4 linked regions of the Oreochromis niloticus genome follow. The protein of the gene in region 3 purifies or fractionates together with the protein of the main gene of each other region. This does not show direct contact. Links are inferred from orthologs where the notes say so. Each region holds a gene or a part of one and is shown on either strand. Other genes may lie near its edges.

Region 1 (7,126 bases), on a different chromosome or scaffold from region 3:
TGAAGGCACGCCTGAAAAGCACGCCTCTATCGTGTTGACATTAGATGACTAACTGATTAAAATCCAATTTTTTTTTTTACCTTGAGAAACTCTTAGGTTGCTTCTGCTGTTTGTTTTAGTGTCATCTATTTGCACATTGTAGCGTTGCCCTATCCATTTTACAAGATATGGCTAAATATGAGCAAGAAGTATGGTGCTGTAGGATTATCCTACTACTCTTACCAGGACTCACATCATCAATAACCACTTGTGTTTGATGGGGGCACAGAGGTAGAGAGGGTGCCAAGCTGCTGTGTCTGTGTTTCAATTCTGATCCCCAAGGATCCCCAGAAGGGACCGGTTCCATCTAACTAACAGCCAATAACCTGCCTCGGGACCACATGTAATGTCCTATCAGGCATAATAGTGCCTAAGATAAACAGACATATGGCTCACTATATGAGCAGAGCAGTAAAAGGATGGGGATGTCGCGAACAACACTAGAGGCCAACTTCAAGCCAACAGCACAAGTCGCCATCAAGTGCGGGATTTACCAAGGAGATGTCCTGTCACCAGTACTGTCCTGCATAGGCCTGACCCCTGACCGAGGGCACTGACAAGACTGGCTATGGACACCGACTACTAGGGCTGGGCCATATCATACCGTTCACGGTAATACCGGTATAATGTTGGGCAACGATAAGAAAATGAAATATCGCGATAGAATATGGGTAAAACGCGCATGCGAAGTGCCTTTGATTTCATACGCACATGGCGGAAAAAGCACGGCAGCGACGGAGAATGAGAAGGGGGAAAGCGGATCGTTGAATGAAACGGATGAACCAGAATTGGTTTGTAAAAATGCTGCAACTTCAGTGATGTGGAACTGGTTTAGCTTTCATCTGTCAGATACACAACAAAGCACTATTTTTGGTAGAGCATGCTAGCGGGCCGTCGTTATTACGGTGTTTTTTGGAAAATACGGCACACTTAGAATCAATCCTTTGATTTTTCTGAAAATCGACAGTGCCCCTTATAATCCCGTGTGCCTTATGTGTGAATTCTGGTTGCATTTACTGACCTCGAAACGATTTAATGTGATACACAGCGCTCAAAAATCTGTCAAATGTTTTAGTACGACTTTGCTAAGCTACAAACCCGCACTGCTTGATAGATTGTCGGAGCATTACGGCTATCGTAGGCAGGAGCCTCGCCGAGTGATACGTACTGTGCTTCAACATAATATTACCATATTGTGTGTGTATAACCTCTTTTTAAGTTTTGTGGATATTATACATGGTTATGCTCAGGATATGTCAGCCAAGTTCCACTGGAAATGCCTTTTTGTTAAACTGTCAGCGAGGAATTTGCATTTGCACTGTTAAATTTTTATATAGCTTTAATGCACATAAAAAACAGCTGCTTGTTTAAGTGAAAATACATTGATGGGTTTTTTTTTGCACTATTAAAGTTGTGGAGTTGTAAAGTATTTTGCCTAGTGTCAATTATATCGTCAGTTATATTGTTATCGCAAAATTTCAAATGTATATCGTGATAAATATTTTTGGTCATATCGCCCTGCTCTACCGACTACAGCAATTGTTAATAGTCAAAACTGAGGGATCGCACAACCAGAAGACAACACTGCAGTCACAGAGGACAGCTACAAGCACCTGGAATCGCACAGGCAAATGGGAACCATGAAGAGACTACTAGGAAAGCGACAAACACCAAATACCTGCGGAGGGTCAGGCAATGTCCCGAGAAGTCGGATGATTGGGAAGGACAAGATCTGGGCAATCTACGCCTACACCCGTAGTCAGATACCCTGTTGGCCATAGGAAGCACTGACAAGGAAGCTCCTTACAGAGTTTCACCCCAAGTCCAGCACCTTGAGACTATACAGTAAACAGAAAGGAGGAGACCGAGGACTAGTGGGAGTCATAACCACTATCTAGCATGAAATACCAAACATCCATGTGCGCATCAGGAAGATGGCCTATAACTGTGCTTAGTAAATACCTCAGGCAACAGAAAGCTGGAAGGACAGGCCCCTGCATGTGTTCCATGCTGCATTTTCTAGCTTTAGTCTGGAGTGCCAACATGAGGTATAACGACTGTGACTGTAGCCGCCGACAGTGCAAATGTCTGTGCATGTCTCTGCTGTGTGGTACAGCAATTTTTATACTCTTTGCCAACTTCTGAATAATAACAATAATAATAATAATAACAATAACAATAATGACTGCTGGAACACAAGGTGCTTTCATTTGTGGGACATGTCACAGAAAATGGGTCAGACTTTGAAAAACACCCTTGTTACTTTTGTTTGTTTTGTTTGTTTTAACAGTAACTCCGTCAAAAAAAAGAGTTAATCAGACAAATCACGACAACTGAGTTACTGGTTTCTGCTTACCATGAGACACAACACATCTTGGCACAGCATTAATATCCAACTTACCGCATGCCTGAAAGGTCCAGTGAGAGACAGAGAGGGTTTTGCAGCTTTGCTGTATATACCAGCCGCGGATTACCTCACAACAATCTTTTACTGGACTTCCTGATTCCACGATAAAAACTTTCCACTCCGGACGAATTTTGAGCAGTCAGGTTGTTTAACACAGAGATTTCCGGTATTAATTTTCAAAATAATATCGATGCCTGATGTGTTTTTCAAAATAAGGTCCAGAAGCGTTGTAAAGGCTTGTAGAAACGCTTTTAGCACAAACACCTTTAAATTCCTATGTGAGAGACTTTATCAATCTCTCGAATAGTTCAGGAAGAATTTTGGCCCAAACGTCTTCGCAATGTTGCATCACTTCATTCAGGTTTCCAGCTATTTTTCCACACACCGGTCTCTTCAGCTCGTTCCACAACATTTTAGTCCGGCTGAGGTCTGAAATTGACATTTTCTTTTTCAAGGATTCTGCAGATTTGATAGTGTTTTTTGGGATCGTTGTTTTGTTGCATGATCCAATTTTAACCTAAGCTTGGTCTCGTGGACAGATGGCCTCACACAGTGGCGGTTTTTGATATGGGCGACATGGGCGCCTTCCATTTTCGAGGTGCGCCTGCTGCTTGCCGCACAGGGAGGGGCGAGGGATTCTCTGGCTGGCTGGTACGGCATTTAATAACCAGCTCGCAAAATAAAACTAAATAAAAACAAACCAACAACCACAAAAACAGAATACATTATGATATAGATTTATAATTTGCACCGATGTGTTTTCTAAATTCTATCACACACATATGCGAAAAGTGAGCGCGATGGCCCTCAGTGCGCCTGCTTGCTGCTGATGCTGTGCTGTTCAGGTCGATCACACAACCTGTCCAAAGGGGGGGGGGGGGGGGGTGCTTCCAAATGGAGCACATTTCATTCATAATGTTGTCAATCCAAGCCTGTTATGTATTAATTATTTTTTCCTGGGTTGTGCGAATCTCTGCACTAAAGTGTAGGTCTGTTAGGTTATGTTGTGGTGATTTTCGGGTTTGGGGATGGGTGTTGATACTGGAGTGCAAGATGAACACCAATGGAAGATTGACAAGAAAAGGTTAAAGCCATCAGGTGCTCAGTGTACAAAAAAAGAGAGAAAAGGAGGAGGAGAAACTAGCAAAAGATACAGGTAAGCAGATATGTCATTGGATGATGGCAGGTATTATGTATGACATGTATCCTGAACAAGATAACATTTCTGTTTACGTTTGTTAGCCACTTGGCAATCTTAGTAAGCAGTAGACAGACACTGATTGTTGATTTGTCTCCTATTCTCATTGTATGACGAATTATAATGGCTGCTTGTTAGCCGTTTACATACTATGCATACGATCTCTCTCTCTCTCTCTCTACACACACATAAAACACACACACACACAAACACACACACATATATATATATATGTATATATATATACATATATATATACACGGGGAACTCAATGTACAACACCAGAGGCCAGCTTCAAGTCAATAGCTAAAGTCAGCACCAAATGCGGGATCTACCAAGGAGATGCTCTGTGTCCACTGCTGTTCTGCATGGGCCCGAACCCCCTCAGTGAGATCATTAACAAGACTGGTTGCCGACTAGGAAATGGAGCAATCATCAGCCAGAGACATACATTCACTGATCCACACCACCAGGATATACAGCAGTGACATCGGAATGTTGTTTGGACTGGAGAAGTTTATCTGGTTAAATTCAGTATGGTTCTGACAACAGTTTTCACAATAAAATATGTTAATGTACAATCCTTAATATGCTTTATGTGTTTAAAGCATATGGTCCCATATAACATGCTTGACTCAATAAATGGAAGGAGCCAGGTCCTGTGGCTGCAAAACAAGAACAAATCATCACCTTTTCACCACTACATTTGACAGCTGATGTGAGGTATTTGTGCTGTGTTTGGGCTTCACCATATGTAGCACTGTGCATTATGGCTAAAAAATCTTTACTTTGGTCTAGTCTGTCTGAAGACAATTGTTGCAGAAGTCTTGTGGCTTGATCAGATGGCATTTTGCAAACCTAAGCCATGCTGCCATATTCTTTTTAGAGAAGAAACGCTTTCAAATAAGTCTTAATCACATGGTCTCACCTCAGAATTAATTTGCTGGGACAGTCAATCCTTGGAAGATGTGACAAATCAAATGAATTAATGACCTGTCATAAATGTCCTTCATATCTCTCCACTATTGTTCATTTGGTCAACTTCCTTAAAGCCTCTTCAGATATAAAGAAATCACATTCTTATAAAAGGCTCACAAAAGTTGTATTTTATTTTGTTCATTCTGAATTTCTATCAAAAGTACAAAGTATGAGAAAACAAGTGCTGCTACCTATGCAATGATAACATTCTTGCTATGACTAGTGCTAAAATGTAAATGGCAAGGTCAGTATTACCTTGTGTAGTACTGGAAACATTTGTTTTTTTTATATTTGAAATGAAATGAACATCTTCCTCAGCAGCAAATATTTATATTAGATTAAATTGGGTCAGAACAAAAAAGTCAATTTGCATACATCAGGAATACTGTAAATGAATGGTATTTCTGCCCAGTCTCCCAAATAAAAACAAATGACTTTGGATGAGTGGATGTTTTATTTGTTTGTGTCTCTCATAAAACCTTCTGTAAGGAAAAGAACAGACAAGGTTTACAGACACATCTATGTAGTCACATGACAGAAGATCATATCTGTTTCTTGTACTTTTCCCGTGGAGAATAACTGAGTTTCTGACTAAGAAACCTTAACTACAGGTTCAAAGGTGAACTGGCAGTCTACAAACATACCAAACTATAAATAGGGTTGAAGATTTGGAATACTTGGAGTGAACAGTATGGGTGTTAGAGAATTGTGATGTGGTCTCATGCGACAGGAAGTGCAGAGCACTCGATTTTCCCAGTTCTTCTCCGATGGTTTCTTTCACTTTGATCATCACTGTTTTCACCTCAGAGTATTCAGCAATAGCATATTCTCCACTGAGCAGACAGAGACAACACATGAGAAAAGTTAGAAAGTACAGATCCAATAAATATAATTAAAGCATATGAATAATGAAACAGCTGAGGCTTATACCCTCTAAAGGGAGTCTGGGGGAGGGGTCTCATTTTATTGACTGTCAGTTCTTTCATGTGTTCAGTAAAGATACAAACCTTTGCAACAGTCCATCCATGGTATAAAGCAGTGGTTCTTAACCTTATTGGAGGTACCGAACCCCACCAGTTTCATATGCGCATTCACTGAACCCCTCTTAAGTGAAAAATAAAATATGATTTTTTTCAAATTCAAGACATAGATATGTTTTTTACTGGTGCACAAAATGAGGTGTGCATGTCACAGCGGAGGCTCTGCCAAACCCCTGAGACCGACTCACTGAACCCGTAGGGTTCGATCGAACCCAGGTTAAGAACCACTGGTATAAATCAAATAAATAAACCATTTACTAATATTTAATTATTTGGTTTTCAGTTTGAGTAGAAATAAGCAAAGATTAACATTATAGTTAACCAGTACATTACATGTTCATTTACACAAACTTTAACATCCCTTTGCTGTTAGGACCATAAACAGGGACTTTAAGGGACTTACCAGACAGTGCCAGTCTCCAGTGCTGCAGACACTGATAAAGCTTTGTCCACACTTGTTGTAAAGCCTGCTGACACTAGGCCATACTGTGTGTGAGTTATTTGCTCTCTCTATGGCCTCCTGTTGGCTCTTAAAGCTGAATATACATTGCTCTGGACCAAAGAAACAGGAACGTATTAGTGAACATCAGCCAGATGTAAAGCATGTAAAGTGGTTCCCAATCTACAACAGTGTATACTATTGCCACTGAGAACAGAAAATGAAAGAGAAATTGCATTTTTTGTTAGTTATTCATGACTATGTTCAATACAGCAAAGACTTTCTTTCTGTTTTTGTTACGGTTTGCGGGGCAAGCCATGTGAATTATTAAAGGACCCAAGATGCAGGTAGCTTCTGAAGTGAGTGAGCTTTATTGTGACGGTGAGATAACAAACAAAGAAAAGAGCGGCGAGAAACAGAACTAGAAACACACTATACTGGGAGAACTAAACTTAAACAACAAAACCTGAACACAAGTGAAAGCAACTTGCAGGGAAAATTCACAGGATGACGGAGGGAGATACACAGACCAGAAAACACCAAATAACGCAGACAAACCAGCCATGCACACCAGAAAACACAGGGCTTAAAAACACACATGGCAATCAGGGGATGGGAAACAGGAGGAAGACACGGCTGGGAGTAATTGGACATAACGAGACAAGGGGAAGCGAAACCAGAAACAAAAACGAGAGACGCAGCCCTACAAAATAAAACAGGAACTCACACATGCAAAGACACAGACTAAGAAACCCGGACTTTACACAGAGGAAAATACAGACAGAATGACTAAACATTAAACTGAGGAAGAACAGAACCAAAAACCAAAATATATCACAACAATAGAAAACACAAAACACTGGGTCAAAGACCCAGGATCATGACAGTTTTTATACATTGTGGCGAGGTGTGGTTTGCGGCTGGTACTGTTTAAGTTACTCAATCAGTGCCAGCCTACCTGCCCTGCCAGCCTCTATGGTGCTCCCCCCTCAACCCACTGCACCACCCCTCTTATGCAGCAGAGC
Region 2 (7,250 bases), on a different chromosome or scaffold from region 3:
GAGAGCCTGCATATTGGATGAACATTCAGGCTTGGTCACCACTGATATTTGACAATGGTGTGTTGATAAAGTATCGCAAAAGGAAGATGACACATTTCTGTATCAATATTTAGTCCCGCTCTACTGTGAGCTTAAATAAATGAACTGGAAGGCTTTAGGATGTTCCTGCAGAAAAAAATATACCATTTTAAAATCGCACTTTAGACTGACCAAGGAATTGATTCAGTAAGATCCCTACGAGGAGTTTCCTCAAATACAAAGCCTCAAAATGTTGCCAAATAGCTGACTTCAGCTGGGTTCAGGCTATGGCCCATCTCGGGACATTACACTACCAGATTTCACAACTTCCTGTTTCATGGCAAAATCTCCATGCCACCTTTACTTTACAATATGAAGCAACTATTGTTTTCAATTGATGTCATGTTCATAAAATTGAACTGAACTTTAAGTGCTTAGGCCTTATTAAACAGAACAGTCACAATAGGGTCTTGATCATGATTTTGGCTGGCCATAATTAATCGAACATGATCACACAATACTGAAAATGCATGTTCTGCCACAACAAGCTCTCCCTAAACCACTGCCTGACCACGTGCCTGCATTTGCCAATTATTGACCTAATTTGTGTTTAGTCTGAACAAGTAACATTACAATTAAAGACAGATCTACTTTCTGCTTAAACAGGTATAATGATAAGCAACACTGGAACAGCAGAAGGCAAAGAGCTTGTCACTAAAAAACATTTTTACCATGAAAAGCAATGATGATCATGATAAATGAATGGGATTTAATCATGGGCTGTCACCCTGCAGCCCGCCTTCCTGCTCAAACAGTGATAGACAGCTACCAACCAGCATGGCTGATGAGTTAAAGCTTTCTAACTACCATCTGTCCAAAAAGTGGTACACTCCCCAACTGGACAGGCAGCAGACAACTGTTTCTAACAGGCTTCCGTTAGCACAGATACACCTCATGCAATACCTCAAAGTGCTTAAAATGAAATAAAAAGACTCAAATCAACCAGTTCACTGTCTGATTTACATAAGTTTGTTGCCGACATAACAAGACTCAAATTCATTCTCACAAGCTTTTGTCAATAACATTCCAATACAACCTGTCATGTTATTACTATTTATTTCAAATGAGTATTTGATAACATGTAATCAAGTCTATTTCCCAAGGCTACAAATCACATGTGTTTGGAGAGGTCTGCCTGCCCTTTGGTGCCCTACTGACACAGCACGTTTGAAAACAAGTCATCTAGACGACACTGCAAATGTTTGCAATATTCGTCACCTTGAACATTTACACTAGTTGTAGGTCACACATTTTTATTTTCTGCTGAATTTTTCTTTAAACGTGCCCAAAGGCAGAACAATACAGTGTACTTCAGATTCTGATGAAAGCTGGAGGTATCAAATATTCCACCATGAAGTAGCCATTACTGCCTGTCAATGTAAGCCCGGAGTAGCTGTTAGGTTTGCAGTGACAAACACTGAAATGTGTAATCACGGCAAAAAGGAAAGAGGAGATGGAAACTACTTCCTAAATTCTTGTTACTACTCAGTAACAGTGAAAACTGGCATTCTCGTCATCACTGGAATAAATATTACTGGGAAACTGACAAAAAAAAACAGACAGTGAATTGCTGGAAATATGTAGCATTTTGTTACACGTAATAGTATTATTTATTATTATTTATTTATACTTGTAATCACTGATACTATTGTTGTTGTTTTAAATACCAACCACTGGTTTTCGTTTAAGCTTCAGTCTTCCTTGCCTGTCAGACATGTGGAGCGTCCTGACACGACACTAAATTTTCAAATGCGAATTGAACTTTCGTCGCCGAGCTTTCCAACATGTACAACTATACAACAGGAAACGTTTGATCAGAGCTGCTACTCCAAGCCTAACATCCTTTATTCTGTTCCTGCAGGTGACTTCACCACAGTCACATTACTGTCAATACGTGAGAAATCATATTGATTGTTCCACTAAACGTTACGAAACTGATTTTTAAAAAAAGTAGATAGAGCTTTCTGCGTCGAGGATACCACATGACAACACTGCATGATGTATGAGATTAGCCATGTCAACTTTGATGACACAATGAAATAATAACACATATGATGAAGTAGCATAAAGAAAGGTAACTCACAGTTTCTAATGTCCGAAATGAAAACGGCCAATCCGCGCATTCCATCTCCTTTCGACACAGCCGGCATGTCTGCAGGTTTCTGTCCTCACTCTGGCCTTCTCCGAAAAACACTGACGCCGGTCACCGTTTCACAGCGGACTGGAGTCGACGATGGCAAACTTGATGTTTGGTAGTAGCCGTTTGCCTCTCTGCAACTTTGTGACTGACTGCTGCCTACCAAGTTCGGTCGATGCTTTTAGGTGGGTAATTCAGGTAGCATTTACTAGATCCGCTGGATGGCAGTCTATCAGCAAGCAGCGGGATAAGTTAACGTTATCCCTGTTAGCTGGCTTGTTTCCTTGGCTATGGCAAGCTAACGTTATTTCATTCAATCCTCATCTACCTTGGATTAGAAATTACGTATAACTCATACCACAAAAATGTGCTAAAGATAAAAACGGCTACTGATAAATGTCTTAAAGATAAATGCACTCAGACGTGTTAGTAAGAATGCTGTCCGAGAGTATATTCTTCAATTACTTCGAGTCACGCAACGTAAAGCTAGCTTAACAGCTAGCTAGCTAGCTAGCTGACTAGCAATATCATTCAAATACTGGAGTACATCACCGGTTGATCGGAATAACTCAGTAGAGCGTCTCAAATACCAACCAGCGGTAAGACTTCTTTGAGCTCTCTATTCGCGCACTAAATTTGGTTAAAAATATTACGTCCTGTATAACTGATGTCCGCTCCAATTCTTTAGCCTCCACTGTACGGCTCGGATCAGGCTCGTGACAGCAGAATAACGTGACCGCGCAGCACACCCGTGAACGCCTACGCTCCTTTTCGTCGTTCGAGTGGACCCTATTGCTGATTGGACAACTTGCGGCGATATGTGGCTGCCGCTGCACCAACACAGTGCACCTCTGCCATGAAGCCATTTGTATGGAAAACAGGCTACAACTGAGCGGCAGGGAAGCCGGCCCGATGAAAGTATGCTAAAAGTTGGCTTTCGTGTTAACAGTGCTAAGCTGTAGTGTCCAGTCGACAATAGTTTTATTGTCATATACAGATAAACAGTGTAGCAACATTTACCTGTAATGCTCGTGTTCCTCAGCTTTACATGAACATGTACATGTGTACAGGTATATTAAGAAAGAACATATAATAAAATAAAAAAAAATAATAAAATACTAAAGTATTAAATATTAAGAGAATCATTTTTGGTATTTACAGTTTGTGCAAGACTGTGCAGTGAGGATTTAACAATAACAGACGTTATTGTTTTAAATAATTATGTAAGAACTGAAAACATCAAATGCAAATGACATGCAATTTCACCTGCGCAGGTATTCATTGGTCCGCGTGCAATGTGTCTGTTTACCCGCATGTTCAGTTATTTGGGGCACTCAGATAATCCATCTTAGGACCGTTTAATGGACAGGGTCAAAAAGTGTCTAAACAAAGGCATTTGAAACCAATAACATGCCTACCAAAAAGATCAGGTCTTAGATTAACAGCATTAGGACACTGATCTACAACGATGCTGTAGTTCTGTGGCAGCTGGCAGCAGATGGCTCCATAACATTTAGGATGCAACATGCATGAGTGACGAAACGTTTCTCCCACCAAACGCTACGTCCAGATGAACAGATTCAACTTTTGGAGATGCAACATGCAGCACTGAGCATCAATTAAAATGTTAATCATTAGATTAAACCACTAGTATGTCTGATACTGTAGGGCTGCGTACAGGGCGGCCAGGGCAGACCTGAGTAGAGGCATCAGGAAAGCTAAGGCTGCCTATAGGAGGAGGATTGAAGATCACTTTGCTGACAACGACCCCAGAAAAATGTGGCAGGGGATCAATCACATTACCAACTACAGAAGCAATAACCAGGCGACATCTAGGACTGATGCCTCGCTGGCTGAGGATCTAAATCGTTTCTTCGCCCGCTTTGAGACGACCAGGCCCTCAGCTGTCACACCACTTCCACCCGCCCCCAGCACCGGCACACTAACACTTAGGGAGCATCAAGTGAGGTGTGCTCTAAGGTCAGTGAATCCCAGGAAGGCGGCAGGTCCTGATGGAATACATGGAAAGGTTCTCAGAGCATGTGCTGACGAACTGACCGGAGTCTTCACTAAAATCTTCAACCTTTCCTTGTCATTAAACACCGTCCCACCCTGCCTCAAAACCTCCACCATCATCCCCATCGCCAAGAAGACAGCTGTGGTCAGCCCAAATGATTACAGGCCTGTTGCACTTACGCCTGTAGTGATGAAGTGCTTTGAGAGACTGGTCTGTCAGCACATCAGGGCCAGTCTGCCTCCCACTTTGGACCCCCACCAATTTGCCTACAGGACTAATCGATCCACCGAGGACGCTATCACCATAGCGCTCCACACTGCGCTGAGTCACCTGGAGCACAGAGGAAGCTATGTGAGAATGCTCTTCCTGGACTTCAGCTCAGCATTTAATCATATCATCCCAGAGATCCTGGTCCAGAAACTGTCTCACCTGGGACTCTCCACCCCCATCTGCCTCTGGATCAAGGACTTCCTGACAAACAGACCACAGTCTGTTAGACTCGGCCCCCACCTGTCCAGCACCATCACACTCAGCACCGGGTCTCCACAAGGATGTGTTCTGAGTCCCCTCCTGTTTACGTTCTACACATCCGACTGCTCCCCTACCCATCTCTCAAACACCATCATAAAGTTTGCGGACGACACCACCGTGGTTGGACTCATCTCAAGGGGGGATGAGTCGGACTACAGAGATGAGGTCAACAGACTGACTGAGTGGTGTTCAGTTAATAACCTCCAACTGAACACCACGAAAACTAAAGAACTTATCTTGGACTTCAGGAAGGGCAGAGCAGACCCGGCCCCACTGTACATTCACGGGAGCTGTGTGGAGAGGGTGCACTCCATGAGGTTTCTGGGCGTGCAGATCTCTGATGATCTCTCCTGGACTGCAAATACCACGGCGGTGGTAAAAAAGGCCCAGCAGCGTCTCCACTTTCTGAGAGTGCTCAGGAGGAACAACCTGGAGGAGAGGCTGCTGGTGACATTCTACAGAGCCACCATAGAGAGCATCCTAACGTACGGCATAACAACATGGTATGCAGGGTGCTCTGCTGCAGACAGGAAAGTACTGCAGAGGGTCATCAACACAGCCCAGAAGATCACTGGCTGCTCTCTGCCCAGCCTGGAGGTCATTGCAAACTCTCGGTACCTCAGCAGAGCTGGCAATATCATCAAGGACCATTCTCACCCCAGCAATCAGCTGTTTGAACTATTACCGTCAGGCCGACGGTACAGGTCACATAAAACCAGGACAAACAGATTCAGGGATAGCTTCTTTCCCAGAGCTATCACCGTAGTAAATAAGCACAAAAACAATTGAAACTGCTTAGCTACTCCATATTGTCACTGTCATTATATTATGCTGCTATTCATACTGTCATTATATTAATGCTGCTATCCTGTATATATTGTACTTACTATTGTTTGTTTTATTGCACCTTTTATATTTTACATTTATATTTATTATTGTATTTTTGCACCAAGGGAGTTGCACTCCAATTTCGTTGTACCCTGTACAATGACAATAAAGGCTATTCTATTCTATTCTATTCTATACCAATTCAATTCAATTTTATTTATACAGCTAAAAATCACAACAACAGTCGCCTCAAGGCGCTTTACATTGTAAGGTAGACCCTACAATGATACATACAGAGAAAAACCCAACAATCATATGACCCCCTATGAGCAAGCACTTTGGCGACAGTGGGAAGGATAAACTCCCTTTTAACAGGAAGAAACCTCCGACAGAACCAGGCTCAGGGAGGGGCGGGGCCATCTGCTGTGATTGGTTGGGGTGAGAGAAGGAAAACAGGATTTTTTTTATTGCAGCCTCATTGCAGCATAACTAAGGGAGGATTCAGGGTCACCTGGTCCAGCCCTAACTATATGCTTTAGCAAAAAGGAAAGTTTGAAGCCTAATCTTGAAAGTAGAGATAGTGTCTGTCTCCTGAATCCAAACTGGAAGCTGGTTCCACAGAAGAGGGGCCTGAAAACTGAAGGCTCTGCCTCCCATTCTACTTTTAAATACTCTACGAACAACAAGTAGGCCTGCAGTGTGAGAGCGAAGTGCTCTAAACCACTTAGTGACAGCGACCTTGATTATTCGACTAGTCACGCACTTCCCTAGTTTTCATCAACCCCACATGTGCTCTCGTGCAGAAATTTGATCAGAGTCATTTGATTGACAATGACAACTCTTAAACAGTCAGGACACACTTACTTCCTGTACCTCAAAATTTCATTCTGTTGACAAACAGACCACAACAGAAAACCTTTAACAATGTGTTATGAAAAAGAAACAGTGCTCTGTTCAAACGGCTTTTAATGAGCCATAAAACCCAACAGAATTCAAAGTTTAAAAACCTGTCAATGAAACCACTGAGTTACACTGAAGATGGGAAGTTTCCCTGTTCCTGCAGACACCTAAAGATATTTGGACACATGTCGACAGCAATGTTTCAGTCTAGGTACAGTTTAGGGTTACTGTGAAACAGTGCAGAAGCAGCCCACAGTCCATGGCATGTCCATAGGTGCAGCTGGAAGAAGTGTGTGTCTCCAAGCACAGCTTCAATACTGTGGTAGAAATACCAGGGGATAGGCTGTTACAGAAGAAAGTAGGACAAGACAGGGCTGTAGAAAGGCATCAGCTGGGCCTCAGTGTCTCTGTGCAAGTAGGAACAGAACAAACACTGGCAGTCCTTTAGTGGAACTACTTCTTCTCACAGTACAGAACCATGCAGATTATCTGACATTGCCCAAAGAATACTGAACTGGCTTGTCTGCCACCGGCATCCCGCCGTCTTCACAGATGAGAGCACATTCACCTCATGTCAGAGAAGAAGACCACCAACCGCCTGCTCCATGTTCTTCTGCCCTTCATCATCTTTGGCTGGGATTTATGTTGAAGAAGCTTCTGTTGAATTAAATACAAAAATGATTCATCAAGTACTTCAAATCACTCTAAAACATTCTCGACACAATTTCTTTGTTTCCATGTCTAAAGGGGGCGTTGGGT
Region 3 (7,823 bases):
TTCAGTTTGACAGCTGTGCACGGAGTCCGTGTGTCTCAGACGCAAAGCCAATTCAAAAATAAAGAATTAGATTTTTGTTAGCAGTGCAAATATTACCGCAGATATTAGACTTGGATTTGGCCTGTGGTGCATCGCTATTGACAAAACACAGTGCTGAGGTGCTAAGCTCTTATAAACACTTCGAGACTGTTGACACTACATACGCTTTTTGTGTGGGTGTCTTGACCTGTGAGGAGGTGTTTTTCTCGGGTTCCTTCTGTCTGGCGTATGTACTGTATCTGTCTGTCTCTCCGACCATGTGGGGAGGGGGGTTGTTTATGTGCGTTGGTTTTTTTTCTATTTCCTGGTGTGTATGAGCGCATTCTGGAAACCAACTGTAGGAGTTTGTTTTTGAGGCCATAGCATGTGGTTGTCCGTCACTGCCTTCATACAATAGAGCCGAGTCTCAGCTGCGTTTCCTCCTGCGGTGCTCAGTCTAGCGCGGCGTGCTCAGTGTGCAGCGCACTGCGTGAGCCACAGTTTGATTAAAATCTCGTCCCGTGCGATGCTAAAAAAACAGAAGTTAGTGCAGCTTCGGCGGAATTTCATTAGCAGCGTGATGGCTGCTGATGGTTTTCCTGAATTCTGTATGAGAGGCTCTAATTGTTGCATTTTTATATGCAGCGCGTTACAGCGGAGTGACTCTGTGGTGCCACGTATCTAAGTTGAAAGTCTGTTTGTGTCTTTATTGTGGTTTCTCTCTCTTTTTACTCAGAAAGCTGAGATTGCATTTTCAAACGGTATCTCTTCTTGCAGATCAGGATTCCTTCAGGCTCGCTTCAACGGAGGTCTTCAGCATATTTTAAAGATAATAATAATAAGCCTGAATGTGCATGCCCACAAAGCAGGCAAAATATGTATATATTTAACACAGTTATTTTCTCAGTTTTAAGTAAAGCTCTTGTACTCCAAGAAACTCCAGAATTTTGTACTATTTGGGGAAGACTCTCTGCTGGGTACAGCTTATCATAATTATCATATTTGATCAATCATAACAAAATCTGAATAAAAATAGAGTTTTCTTCATTTCGGTGAGTAATAATTGCATTTTAAAGGGGATTCTGCATGCTTTATTTCATCTTATTGTGAAATACAGCTATATACCATTAAGAAATGTCCACCAGTTGTCTTTTGCAAAGTTAAAATTTCCCAATAATCACACATTTATGTCCGAATTAAACTGTAACATTTTCAGGCAAATCACAGGTAGCTGAGCAGAAAATGTGATGTTTTTAGATGGAATGATCCCACATCTTACTTCAGCTTATAAAACAGTAGTATTGAAGTAACTCTTTAGGGTCACTTTAGGGTCAAGCTAACATCTCCTAGCTGTTATTGTTTTGTAACGTTGATTATTCTGTGTCTTGATTTCAGTGCAACTCCTCAGCATGCACTCTTGAAGCCACTGGTTAACATTATTCAGATACACTTGGACATAAAGCAATGTTTAAAGAAACAGCAGTAAAATAAATCGACTTGGAAACTTGCTAAAATAACAGTAAAAGCAGCGACTCAGCAACATGTACTTAAATTAGATGACACAGTCTTAATGGGTGAAGTGGTGTGGTTGTCCAGTAGAAAAAAGTTTGAATCAAATTGTGTTTGCACTTTGCTTTCAGCTGTTCGCCCCTGTTTGCTGTGTGATCGGAACTTTTGTTAATTGAGCAAAAGCAAACTGCACAAAGTTTGCAAAGCTATGACTTAAATCCGGAAACATATGTTTGTGTAAAAGAAAAAACCCGACCCTAGTATTTCATGCAAACTTGAACCCTTGAAGAATTTCGATACTCGCTGCTACAGAGGACTAAAAGTTACGCCAGACAATGTTCAAAGGTTGAGCTGGAACTTCAGTGAAGAAACACCGCAGTTTCTGACAAGTAAGCCGTTAAACTGAGAAGGAAGTTGTAAGTGGAAGTTGTAAGTGGAGCAAAGCAGAAAGTGGTAGCAGGAAAGGAATGATGGAAGGAGATAGAGATGTGGGAGTGTGGTTAGAGGAGGGGTGGTGGTGGTGGTGGAAGCACAACCCAAAATAGCCAGCTCACATGTTTGCTGTGTGCGTAGTGAGCTATGAAGCCGAGAGAAAGTACTCCTGCTGAAGCCCCGGCTAATCTAATGTTCACCCTCAGCCTAATTTTTGAAAATTTGATTGCCTTTTTCCAGTGTGCCTGCTTATTTGTGTTTACGTTTGAGACTTTCCCGTGTGAGTTACGCTTCCTCCCTCTCTCCCTTCTATTGTTCATTCTTTACTCGACTCTTTACTGTCTGTCTTGCCTTGATAATAGGAATTGATGTTAGTCAGCATCTCTGGCAAGAATCCAAGAGGAAAATGTCAGCATCGAGGCCCCGTTTACTCATCTTTGCTAATTTTTTTTTGACTAGTTCAAATAAGGATAAGTGAGGTGGGTCAAATCACATTACACACACACATGCACACACACACACACACACACACACACACACACACACACACACACACACACACACACACACAGATATACAGTGTAAGAGCAGACTGCAGATGTGGCCCTGCAGCGTGTGCATTAGATCCAGAGCTCTTTCTTAGTCTGTCTCCGATTGTTTCATCTAATAAATACTGACTAGCTGCAGTTTCCACAGACTTCTGCAGGCGCAGAACACCAAAACTCACACTTGCTAACTCGCACTGGGCAAGCTGAAACACAAACAACCTACACATGCAGTCCTTTGAGTTGATTCTTTTCATTCCACAGGGTATGTTTCAACATGCACAGCGGATTTCTGCCTTTCTCCTTTCACTCTTCCTCTCTCCTTCCTTCGCTTTCTGTTACTTTATCCCTCTGAGTATCGCCCGGCCTCTGCCCTGTGTCAATGTTGTGTGTCTATGTGCTCGATATGAAGAAGGTCCCATGACTCTCTCCACAGCTGATGCTGGGAGCAAAGCATGCTGGAAGTCAAGTGGCTGCAAGGGCGCTGGTTTGAGCACGCTGTAATTTGCTCTTTGATTTGTGTGTGTGTGTGCTTGTCTGCGACTGTGTATGCTGTGTACTGTGTGCTGATGTGCACCTTGGTGTTTTTAGGGCTACAGACTCTCACGCTGCCTGTGCTGGCTGATGGAATATATGGTAAGACATTAAAATCATACGAGCAGCTGATTAAAAAAACACATCGTGCCACGGTGGCAAAGGAGTTGCTGCTTCTAAATTTCTGATATAATATAGAAATGAACAGACTCTCGCATCCAGCCCTGGTGGGCATATGTGTAAAGTAAGCGTTATTTGTTAAAGCACCGTAATTTCAGGGCTGCACAATTACACCAAGAATAAGATAAAATTGCTCCCAAAGATACTGTGGACACATGAGTGATTGTAGCTGGTGTGCAATATTTCACCAATTAAGATGCCTCCTTTCCATTTTCATGAAATTATAATCGAGCGTTATGAAAGTGTCATGTTTCAGGCTTTGATATGAAACAAACTGGAATGTTCTCTGACCCATTTAAAAGGGTTTCCAAGTAGCATATGCAACATAAAACAAAAACCTTATTCAAGAGAGAGAGCCTTCTAAGAAGCAGTACAATGTGATGCAGAAAAATCGCACACCCCTCTTTTTTTACACCTCATTTAATATTGCACAAGTTTTCACCTGCAAGAAGGAACTGGAAAAAAAGTCGTTTTGAAATCGTGCTTCAGTAATTGTACAGCCCTGTGCATGTAAATTTATTGTGGTTTGAATGGGATGTTAACTTTGCTTCCTCTGCAGTTTATTAGTTACACCCAAATAAAACAAATGCAGTTGGAAGCTGTGAGATAAACCTTACATTTTTGAGATAAAAAAAAAACCCATATCTATATTTTCAGATGGATATTTTTGGTTATTTTTGGAGGCTGCGGCTCCACGGAGAAGAAAGTGGCTGAACTGCAGTAGTTTTAGTTGGGTGTACTGAATAAGCTGTCAGCTCAGCGTGATTGCTACCTTTTTAATGTAAATTCAAGATGGCACTTGAACTGTTAATTCACTGAATCTAATAAGGGAGCACAAAATTTCAATTAGGTCAACCCTAAGCCACAGTGTATCGTGTGTTTCACTGGTTCTGGGCGTCTCGCAGGCTGCGGGTGGAGGGTGTCTTCTTCGCCAATCATGCCCGTCACTACCAATCAGATCACTGTGTATGATGACGAATGTTAGCTGTCTGCAGTTTGTCTCATTATGAACCTTCACATCCTTGAGTGCACTGCTTGAGCTCATGATGATGGTGTAGTGGTGAAATTGGGTACTGCGGGGACTCTTTGGGGTGTCATTTGAGGACTCTCTGCTATCCACTCTGCTGGGTTCCTGTGTCACTCTATGTGTGGTTTCCTCTACTTTCCGCAACACTGCCTTCTCATCAGATGCGCTCGAATGTCAAGACCAATCTGTGGGATTTCTGCTTTATGTCTTCCAGTCTTTTCCCCTAGAGTGCTGTAGTCATGTAGTAACATTGGAAATATTTATCATGCGAGTGCAGTCTGCTTTCTTTTTCCCCTCACTTTGTCCACTTACCAAGGTTATATAGAGTGACCTCATGTCACAGCACACAGAGGCTATCTATATCCATCCTTCCCCTCTCTCTCTCTCTTCCCCTCACTCTTTAACTGTGTTTCTCAGGTTACCAAACATGAATAAGGGAGGAGCGTTGAATACCCAACATGAACAGCCCACCCTCCACATGCACACACAAACACATGTATCCACCATCCCTTCCCTTCTCTCCCCTTCCCTTCATTCCTCCTTCCCCATCCCCATCTCCATCTCCCCTTGGAGTGTGTGCATTTCTGAGTAGAAGTGCAGCATCTTGCTGTGCATACACATGTATACTGCTAAATGACTCTGGCTGCAGAGAGAAGGTGGGGGGAAGGGAAGGAAACAGGAAGGAGGTAGCATGGGAGAAAAGAAGGTGGGGAGGGCACAGGCTGTGGCGCGGTCGTGTGTGTGTATGTGTGTGTATGAAAGAGAGAGAGGGAGAGAGAGAGAGAATGGGAGGCAGCATCACCCACCCAGACTGGGAGGAGGGGAGGACAGACAGTGTGCTTGTGCCTCTAACAGACAGACTGAGGTGGAAGGAAAGTGGGGATGAGAGACAGACGTGAGGGGAGAAGAGGAGCACAATGAAGGACTACCATCTACCATCATCCATCCTGGCAACACTGCCATTTCACCATCTGCTGAAAGAGTGAGAGAGAGAGAGAGAGAGAGAGAGAGAGAAAGAGAGTGAGAGGAGGGACGAAACAAGGAGGCAGCCAAACGGAGGAGAGGATAGATGGAGAGGAGCTGCCGGCAGTGACTTTGTGAATTAATCGAGCGGAAGAGCGGATCAGAGGAGAAGCACGTTTTTCGGGGAGTGGACGAAGGGAAAGCTAGGAAGAGGAAGGAGAGGACGAATGATCGGACAGGCTGTGGCCGTTTAAACATTAATGTGGTTCTTATGTGAATACGGAACCTAGCTTTAGGAGAATCACCGTGGATTATCAATTGCATGCTTTATAAACCAAAAAAGGAACTACTTCGGTTTTTGTTTTGTTTTTTTGTTTTGTTTTTTTTGCCATTCATTAAAACACTTAGGGAAATCGATAAGACTCACTTTATACAGAACAGTTTAATTACTTTTTCTTTTCTTTTTTTGGAAATACAGACTCCCTTTGTGATTTTCTATTTTCTTTCCCTATCCCTCATGAGCATAGGATCTACTCTGCAGGATGTTATACAGTCATTCTAATCTTTGTTAGCTGCTGCACAGAATATTCAGGTTGTTTTTATGCAAGTTTTCTAAACATCAGTTGTCTTTTTGATGTTAATTCTTGGTGAAATTCTTGTTTATACAGTTATTAGAAAAGAGATTATTGTTCTTTGAACACAGTGTCAGTTTTACATGCCCTAGTCGGAGTCGGTGCGAGCGACCGACGTCGGATGTCAACATTGATTGGGTTTTATGGCTGGCGCGATGCCGGCCAAACTTTGATCATTTCCTGAACCATATTGATCTTTCTAGGAGTCTGTAGTTTTTCTCCTGTTGGATGAAATAAAAAGAGCTCTAATGTGGAGCCTTTGATGGAGCTACTAATTGCTTGCAATGTGATTTGACAAAGCGGTTATCTCTTTGTCTGAAGATTTCTGCTGTTGTCAGGACTTCTCAGTATATATCCTCTGCAGGCATCTCTTTTAATGTCTGTTGCCATAGCAACGGGCAGCAGCTGCAGACAGAACAAGATGTAAAGTTGGTTTTTCTTGTCCTATCTTTTTAAACTGGTGCTGTGCCATTAGGTAATTGTATATATTTACTAGATAAAACAAGATTAGTCCATTGTTTGTGTCAGTTTTTAGAGTTTTTGTTTCCCTTCTTCTCCAGTAGACAGTCCTTGTCTTTGCGGAGCTCGGCAAGCTCCGGGAATCAGGGTTGTTTCAGGTCACCTGTCTCCCCCTCCCAATTTTCCGTGTTCGCCTTGTACGACTCATCTCCGTCCAGCCTGTCCCGATCTCACATTTATTAATGACAACTACCATTTCCATCAGTCAAACTGATGAGCTCTTATCAGAAATGACTGGATGAATTAGATTACAGTACTGATTTCACTTGTACGTATCACAGCTGCGTGGCCCCAAGGCCACCAATCACCAGTCATTAGCTGTGTTTGTGACAGCCTTTTCCTTTTGCTGTTTGTCTCTAGGTGACTCAGGATTTCTCTTCCTGTAGAGGGTCATCTCCTCTGCAGTCACCTGACCTACACTGTGTTCGGTGCACTAAAACATCCCTGGGAAGAGCCAGGGTTAACTCTGCCCATAGAGCATTTCAGCAGCTCTCTTTTTTTTAACAGCACCTGAATTTCTCTCCAGTGTTAGCAAGTCTACTGAGATTGAATCCTTTGCCTTTTTAAGTGCTATTCTTCTTCTCTACGGACTAAGTTCTGGTTTTATTAGATGTGTGACAGACCTTTTTGTTTAATCTGCATGCTCTTTGACTGTCCAAGTACTGTGAGTGTGTGCATGTTGTGACTTTTCCAGCCATACTACTTTACAGCTTTCTGGAGATCATCCCAGCCTGTCTTGCAGTTCATAAGTATGACTGGATCCTCCATGGTGCTTTCTGGCCAAGACCAGATGGATGACTAGCTAGAATTGCTAGACAATCCCTCTGTGGTGCTAGACTGGTGTAGGCGACTGTTCCTTTGCCATGCATTGAGCGCCCACCACAAGCTTGCGGGCTGTCCTTCAGGCAGAGTGAAGTTCTGAAATCTTAGTGTGAGGAGAAAAAAATAATCAACCTTTTTTGCTTGGCATTACTGAAACGCTGGTGCCACTTTTACAGACTTTTGTATGTGTTGTGGAAAAGGTGGGTGTAAACCTTCTCCTTTGAGGGAGCAAAGGTCAACAGATTGTAAGTATGACTAGTGCCTCAGCAGCACTAAGTTGTAGGCCAGCCAGCCAGCTTGCTGCTGGACTGTAGGTGTAGCTTTGCCTCCTACTGAGGTCAAACTGTGGCTGACTGTTTTAATTGTGGGGCTGTGGTTTGTGAGAGACTGTTAATGTAAACAGACTGTTGTTTGCCTTCTAGATTGGACTATGCAGACTATGAGATGTGAGGTGGTGTCTGTACAGTAGAGAGAGCTTACCTGCTGCTTGATAAGCCCTGCTTTAGATAAGGAAGGAATATAACTCTTGGCTCGTTCATATCATCTGTGACAGTGTCAATATTTTTCTCTCAGGTAAATAACTCTGTCCTGCGATTGCTATTTGAACTAGGCCGTAATAAAGTTACAGGGTGAGAACAGACG
Region 4 (7,526 bases), on a different chromosome or scaffold from region 3:
GTACTTGTTGGAGCTCAGGAGGTTGACGGCCTCCATGTGCCCGAAGTCGATGTCGTGGCCCAGAAGGAAGATGAAGAGCAGCTTGCAGACATACTTCTTTTTACTGTAGCCATCCAACGCCTTGTCTCCTGCACGCACACACACACACACACACTCTTTACTGTCTATGTGATAAACAGCAGCATTTTATTCCAAACAGGTGAGGCTCGGAGAAAAGAGCAGGTGGACTTTGTCTGATTCAAATCTAGTCAAATAATCCAAACCCAGTGAGAGTGGGAGGTTCAGGATCTGCAGCAGTGCAACATCAAACACACGTAATCTCTGTTTTTGCATGACTGGGCTTTAATTAGGCGTTTGGAAACATCATCATCAAATAAACCTGAAGAAAGAGTGTTACGCCACCCTTAGTACCTCATGGATAAGAAGCACAGTTGCAGAGACATGTGGACACAGTGAAGAGGCCTGAATGCCGGGTGGAGAGGGCGGAGAGGAGGCGCTATGTGGACACTCCCTGCCTGCATATCGCCTCCTCTCTGCAGCAGACTAATTATAGGCAGCAAGGAACAGGTGGCAACAGGAGAAACAGCAGCAACCAGAGAGTCAGTGAGGTTTCACAGGGCGACACAAAGCAGTCAGGACAGGAAGCAGGAAGCACGTCAGGTGACTCGGCGAGCTCGTTTCTCCATCACCTACCTTTAAATTTGGAGCGGATGTTTGCCAGCTCCTTGTTTATCCTCTTTATCTCGGCCTCTTTACTTTTACCTGCAGACAGATCAGCATTATTCAGCATGCACAGAGCTGTGATCACTCATGAATACAACATCCTGCCTTTTTTTAAAGGTCGCCGCCGCTGAGGAATGTGGCGTCCAGGTTCAATCGCACACTACAACATAACAGCTTCCTGATAAAGCAGTGACATATCTTTACTTTATTAAGAAAATATCCCCAGAAGCAGGAACCTCAGGCCGCCCGTTTTTGAAGCGTAGACCTGATGACGCTGCAGGATCACACAGAGCTAATCCTCCCTGCTTCCTGCTCCTTTCTCGCTCTGTTGTGACCAAAACTTCCAAACCGAACATCACGCTTTGTTCAGCAAGCCCCGAAACCAGCGGTTGAGACCATAAATCATCATTACAGTGTTTACTGAGCTCAGATCAGCTGAGCTGGAGCCTCTTTTTCTCACAGACTTCCATCCAATCAGACTTCTCTCTGCAGCCGCAGGAGTCGCCCCCTGCTGCATGTTTGAAGACACGTCTGTGTCAGATTTACCTTTCAGCTAAATCCATCTTTAAGTCCGGTCTCTGATTGTGACAGTAGGAACATTTTTCATGTGCTTTGTTGTGAAGAACGTGATTTATAACCTGATGAGCGTTCACCAACATTTCACATCGACCGGATAATAAGAGGTGAAGGGAGCAGAGTGGATGTGGGAGCGCTCACTGACAGTCTAAGCTGTATGAACACAGAGGGCCTGAGATCAGCTGTGACTGAATCAGCTGCACTATCAAATACAGAAGGCTTATTTTGAACTGTGAATCACAGTAAGCTGCTGTGGTGGATTCAGAATAGGTCACCCTGAAACACCAGCATGAACAAAACCAGCAGAGCAGCAGCAGCTGGGACACTGCAGAATAAAATCAGAGTCAGGACGGTTTGTGTCGGGGCAGCAACAGGAAGCTCTGAGGCCGCGTTCCTGTTTTCTCACCCAGAACACTAACATGCAGTTCTGCATGTTAGTGGTCCTTATGTTAGGCAACATAAGGACCATGTGGGCGAAAGTGTGGGGGAAAGTCACCTGACTTTAGTGTTTCTGGGTTAAGGTCAGGGGTCAGAGAGTCATCTCTCTCTCATGTCCCGGTATAAACGCTCACGGACGTGAAACGTGTCTGTTTCTACAGAGGCGGCAGCACAGACTCACATCACAGAGTGTAAGGATGCTGAAAGAGGCCAAAAACCACTGGCCTGCTCATCATGCAGGTACCGCAGAGCAGAGTCGTACCGTCACACAGCAGCTGATTCAGTTACTGTAGCTGTAACTCGTTCCCACGATCAGCAAACAGAAACACGGGGAATGTCTACCTGCCTCGGCCTCACCCGAGTTTCTCACCTTTCACCTGTACCTGCCCACGAACACGCTCTCATTTCAAACTTTTATTTTCCACGCTGCTGATTTTCCCTAAACCCCCTGGAGAGCACCACCACACTACTCTCGCTCTTTCACGAGTACTCAGATTACCGTTTTGCATTACTTTTCGCGATTAACGTTAGTTCCAGCTAACGCCAACTGAGGCGGTGGCACGGAGATTTTACACACCGACTTTTTCGACCGGCTAAGGCGGCACTGAGCCGCTCATGTTGGCCTGATAAAGCAGCTCACGCCGTTAAAAAGTGACGGTTTGTTTATCTCCCCACGGCGGCCCACGCCCTTTGACACGGTGACGTTAGCAGCTCCGAGCTAGCAGCTAGCGTTGATTAGCCGGGGAGGTTTGAGCTCTGAGCGGGAGTTTATCCCACTTTAACGGGGTAAATGTGCCCAGAATGAGGGCGGCAGGGGCGGGAAACTGACCCCGGGCTCGAAGTCCCCCCCCGGGCGTGTTCCCTGAGGTCCCCGCGGTACAGAGGCTAGCCGTGCCTAGCTGCAGGGTGAAGGAGACAAACTCACAGTTCCTGATGTCGGAGATGAACACGGCCAGTCCGCGCATCCCGTCCCCTTTAGACACCGCCGGCATCCTCTCCGCTGCTGGGGAGCTTCAGCTGACCCGGACAACCCGCTGCTCGAACCCTCAACTCTCTGTCTGTGGAACCGCGAACCGCCGCTGCGAGCACCAGGAGCCCCGACATATGACCGAGACAGGAACCAGACGGGCCGCGTCCCCTTCAGCGCGGAAACGCCCTGTTCCAGCCTCCTCAGGCGGGCCGCGTCCCAAACATGTTCGCTTTACCCACTCAACTGAGTGAACGCACCCGGCCCAGTCCTGACCTTTCAGCAGCCCAGAACATCTGGAGCATGAGCACCGAGGACGGGAGAGCTCCCAGATGTTTGGGAGACTATTAGAGTCATGCTACTGTCTTCATCATTTTTATTAAAACTTTGACTCAATTCATTTTTCAGTTTAAAAGTTTGATATGTTGTGATTTGCATTCTGTTTTATGTACTTTTATAAAAGTCCCAACTTTTTTGTAATAGACGTTATGACATCAAGACAAACAGCTGGGTTATAAAGCGGATATTGGGGAGGGGGTTCTTTTGACGAATTTCTGAAGGCCCTGTGACAGACTGGCGACCCGTCCTGGATGGTAGCTGGGATAGGCTCCAGCGCCTACACGACCCTGAAATGGATAAGCGGAAGAGAATGGATGAATGAATTTCTGAAATTTGATAGGCATTAATTAATGAAGACACTGTCTAAATTATTGGCTTATTTTTCAAACTGAGAGACTTCCTTCTGTGTGAAGCTCTTCTTCTACCTGTCTCTATTTGAGCCTCAGTTAAACTGCGGTAATGTCTCATGGTGGAACATGTGTCTTATTTATGTGGAGTAATTACAGACTTTCCAAATGAAAGTGAGATACAGTACGAGACACGTTATGGTCCAAACGTTTGGAGCTGGCTGAATGCAAAACTTTTCACAAAGCCAGTGTAATTATGGACTCGTGTCATACTTTGTGGTCTCTGCACTGATACAGGCTCAGTCCTAAAACTGTACACTTCTCAGGCCTTCACAGTTCTCAGTAGTTTTCCGCTTGAATTACACACTCTGATTATTTTATTCCGTTATTCCTCAGGTGCTGGTCTGCAGCGTTACCGGGCTTTAGCATCTTTAGAGTAATTTTGGGATATTTTTAGAGTCGGCTTCATTTGGATTCATGCTGGAAGTTATATTTGTATTTCATGTGCATTATTTCATTCATGTGAATGAAGATCAGAGCGTAACAAGGTAAAGCAGTAAAAAAACGAGCCTGCACAGAAACACATACAGCATCAGCAGACAGTGCTGCACAAAGGCCTGGGCTCTCTAATCGCATAAACAGACAGTAGATGGATCACACTCTGAGTCTGACTCATTAAGCTTTTCAAAGAAGCAGCATCAGGCTCAGATCTGCAGCCCAGAAAATCACGGCTGCAGTTAGCAGCAAACCCACATCAGTGACGTTCATCTCAGAGGGCTGCTGAGGGTCACGTCCGGCCGTAAATGTGTTTAAATACGCCAGGCCTCATGTGGAGCCTCCTGGAGTCAGGCTGCAGTTTTAGACAAAATTAGAGGAGCAGATAGAGACTTCCTGTCTCTCGCTATAACTACAATTACTCATTATAGATGGACTACATGGCCATTGTGAGCTACCCTCCCGTATGAGGTTATGACCATGAGCAACCGAACATGTGATGAAAGCTTTGGTGGAAACTTCTAACTCACAGTGAGTGAGTTATTTTTATGTAAAACTAAACTGCTCTGCCAAAAGCATTCACTCACCTGTCCAAATCATTTAACTCAGGTGTTCCATCACTTCCACAGGTGTTTCAAATCAAGCACCTACTCATGCTGACGGCTTCTACAAACATTTGTGACAGAATGGGTCGCTCTGAGGAGCTCCAGCATGATGCTGCGATAAGATGCCACCTGTGCAAAACGTCCGCTGGTGAAACTGAAGTTGCTCTTTGTTGCTGAACAGGTGACTCAGACCCGCCCTCTGTTTTCTGACAGAGGTGATGTCCTGAGCGACGAATCGAAATTCCTGATGACTCCTGATCACGAGATCCAGTTGATACGTTTTGAACTCTTATCAATAAAAAGCTGTGATGGCTCGCTTTACAGTCCTTTTGCAATATTATTATCAGTGCTTGTGTACACTCACACTGACTGGTTGCTCCAAGCGTAATTATCTGGGTAAAAGAAAACACTGATACAGACTGAAGAAGTCACTTGGATGAGTGACGAAACGTTTCTCCCACAAAACGCTACGTCCAGATGAACAGATTCAACTTTTGGAGACTGATACAGTTTTATATTTTATAGCTCTGGACAAACAGTGTTCCCCTCCTTACACTGTAGTTACACGTGACTATTTGGAATGTTGTCTGTATTACAGAGTATACTAGCCGCTGTAGCTCGGGAGGTAGAGTTCGATCCCTGGCACTCCGCCTGGTCTGCATGCCTTTGGGCAAGATACTAACCCTAAGTTGCTCTCCAATGCATCCATCAGAGTATGAATGTGTGTGAACATTAGTAAGCACTTAAAATCAGAAGGTGAATGTGACATGTTGTATAGAGCGCTTTGAGTACTCTGGGACAGAGGGAAGTGCTATATAACAATCAGTCCATTTACCTGCTGAAAGATCCAAAAATAACCTGCTGAATATGTCAAAAAATTAATATTAAAACAGGACTGAACAAAAAAATGATGGTAAACTTTCAAAAATTAGAACTGTAAATATAATTTCTGTATTCATAACCAGAAGTTTCTTTAAAATGACTCAACAGTGTCTCCAGATTCACCTTACAGCTGTCTGCACCCGAGAGTACTGTGTAACTAGAGTCCACGACAGGAGGTCAGAATACTGATAATACTCTGTTCTTTAAAGTATTTGTCACTTAAAGCATATTTTGTGTGTGTTTTCTGTCTTATAAATAATTCTTTTATTTTGTCCAGTGGCTAATCACTGCATAAAAATACAGTCAGCAAACAGACAAACAGGAATCTCTTCATTCCCACATTTCCAGAATTTAGGGTTTAACTGTCTTCATATGTAATAGAAGAGAGAACAGCAGGAACCGACACCTGCAGCTCAAAATGATTTCTGTGAGTTCAGTGAAAGAAAGGAAAGTTTGCTATCCTTTATGATACAGCCTATAACTTTAACATGTTGGATACTCATTAATTCAAATACTTGCAACATAATTTGTTCCCTCTCTCTATTAAAACTGTTCTACTGTAACTACATTTCAGTTTGATTTAGAAACGTGTGCATGTTTCAGGTACTGAAAATTACACAATGAATTCAGAAACCTTCCACGTATAACCTGGGAAATGATATTACAGTCATACACTTCTATTGTTATAACTAATAAAGGATGTTAATCCTGAAACAGTGTAAATGAAAATGTGTCATAAATACAGTAAATATCTAATTCATTGTACATAAACAGTACACAGTACTATAAACATGTTGCTGTACAGTAAATTATTGGCATGAAGCTAACAGTAAGTCGTTCACAGTTACTGTAAAGTTCACGTGTTCGTGTATTTTAAAGGACAGTTACAGTAACACTTTATCATCACGTGTGTTTGACTCTACAATAAGTGATCAGGTGGTGACGTGTCAAAGCGCCGTGTGTTGTGATGTATGTGGCATTATGCTGATCTTCCTCCTGATGAATATTCCTCTCTGGAGCGCCCTCCCCTCTGCTGCAGCTTCATAAACGCAGCAGCCGCCGTGCAGAGCGACAGAACAGCTGGAAACTCATCCTGTCTCAACCTTTACGTCTTACTCCTACCAGACGACTCTCTGATGCAGCCAGTGCAAAAACAAGTTTACTGAACCATCATTATAAATTTCATATTTGTGTCGCTGAAATCCAGAGAAGCATGTACGCCAGGAAGTCAGAAGGAAAGGAGCTTCGCAGAGGAAGGTCTTTGGACAACAGGACCGTCTCCAGCAGCTTTGGGAGAGGGTCGACAACCATCATATTCACTCTGAAAAACGAAGTCGGTGGTTTTATAAAGGCACTGAAACTTTTCCAGGTGAGGTTTCATTTTCTTTATGTTGACACAGATATGGTGTTTTCTGAGGATGTGTGTGACTGGCCAGGAATTTGAATTTGATCGGAAGCATTTACAGCATTTTCTTTGGGTGTGTGTGTGTGTGTGTGCACGCGCACAGGAAAAACACGTCAACCTCATTCACATCGAGTCCCGTAAGTCCAAACGAAGGAATTCAGACTTTGAGATCTTTGTGGACTGCGACACAGACCACGAGCAGTTCAAGGAGCTCACCGAGCTGCTCAGGAAGCACACGGACATCGTGGAGATCTCGCCATTCGACAGCTCCGCTCTACCCGAGGACGGTACACCTTGTCGTACTTTGACTAAACAGAAGCTGTGATAGAAATGAGTTATTTCACAGGTCTGCGTGTGTTGACTGTGTTTCAGATGTGCTCGGTGTGCCGTGGTTCCCCAAGAAGATCTCTGACTTGGACTTGTGTGCAAACAGGGTTTTGATGTATGGCTCTGAACTTGATGCAGATCATCCGGTATGTGGGTCGTCGGACAGAGCTCTGAAATGAAGTGTGAACTCAGTAACCGACTGAGGTTTTGCTGTTCCTGCAGGGATTTAAGGACAACATATACAGAAAAAGAAGACAATATTTTTCTGATTTAGCTATAAACTACAAACAGTGAGTTCCTCTTATGGATTTCTTCATTAATGAAGTTAATAATAAAAACCTAGAAGGGCTTTCATCCTTTAACTCTGTCTCTCACAGCGGTGAGCCCATCCCTCGTGTGGACTACACTGCAGAGGAGGTGCG

Evidence for each region.
Region 1: the proteins of shc1 (region 3) and lrrk1 purify together in Homo sapiens (affinity purification with mass spectrometry; 3 studies listed by BioGRID and IntAct, with this or other methods). This does not show direct contact. The link is inferred for Oreochromis niloticus from reciprocal best matches to the Homo sapiens genes SHC1 and LRRK1.
Region 2: the proteins of shc1 (region 3) and ap2a1 purify together in Homo sapiens (affinity purification with mass spectrometry; 4 studies listed by BioGRID and IntAct, counting the BioPlex papers as one, with this or other methods). This does not show direct contact. The link is inferred for Oreochromis niloticus from reciprocal best matches to the Homo sapiens genes SHC1 and AP2A1.
Region 4: the proteins of shc1 (region 3) and AP-2 complex subunit alpha-2 purify together in Homo sapiens (affinity purification with mass spectrometry; 4 studies listed by BioGRID and IntAct, with this or other methods). This does not show direct contact. The link is inferred for Oreochromis niloticus from reciprocal best matches to the Homo sapiens genes SHC1 and AP2A2.

The regions. Positions count from the first base shown.
Region 1 is NC_031965.2:4,655,374-4,662,499, reverse strand, and holds the start of lrrk1 (leucine-rich repeat serine/threonine-protein kinase 1), read right to left. Parts: upstream 3,007-7,126; 5' UTR 2,441-3,006; intron 1,878-2,440; exon of another isoform or gene 1,808-1,877; 5' UTR 1,718-1,807; intron 1-1,717.
Region 2 is NC_031969.2:2,264,049-2,271,298, reverse strand, and holds the start of ap2a1 (AP-2 complex subunit alpha-2), read right to left. Parts: upstream 3,007-7,250; 5' UTR 2,229-3,006; coding exon 2,162-2,228; intron 1-2,161.
Region 3 is NC_031976.2:20,859,228-20,867,050, reverse strand, and holds the start of shc1 (SHC-transforming protein 1), read left to right. Parts: upstream 1-4,812; 5' UTR 4,813-7,823. UniProt on the Homo sapiens protein: Signaling adapter that couples activated growth factor receptors to signaling pathways. Participates in a signaling cascade initiated by activated KIT and KITLG/SCF.
Region 4 is NC_031965.2:39,416,059-39,423,584, reverse strand, and holds the start of AP-2 complex subunit alpha-2, read right to left. Parts: upstream 3,007-7,526; 5' UTR 2,730-3,006; coding exon 2,663-2,729; intron 763-2,662; coding exon 694-762; intron 129-693; coding exon 1-128. Other genes in the region: tryptophan 5-hydroxylase 1, read left to right, coding at 6,586-6,741, 6,881-7,064, 7,150-7,250, 7,327-7,394, 7,482-7,526. UniProt on the Homo sapiens protein: Component of the adaptor protein complex 2 (AP-2). Adaptor protein complexes function in protein transport via transport vesicles in different membrane traffic pathways.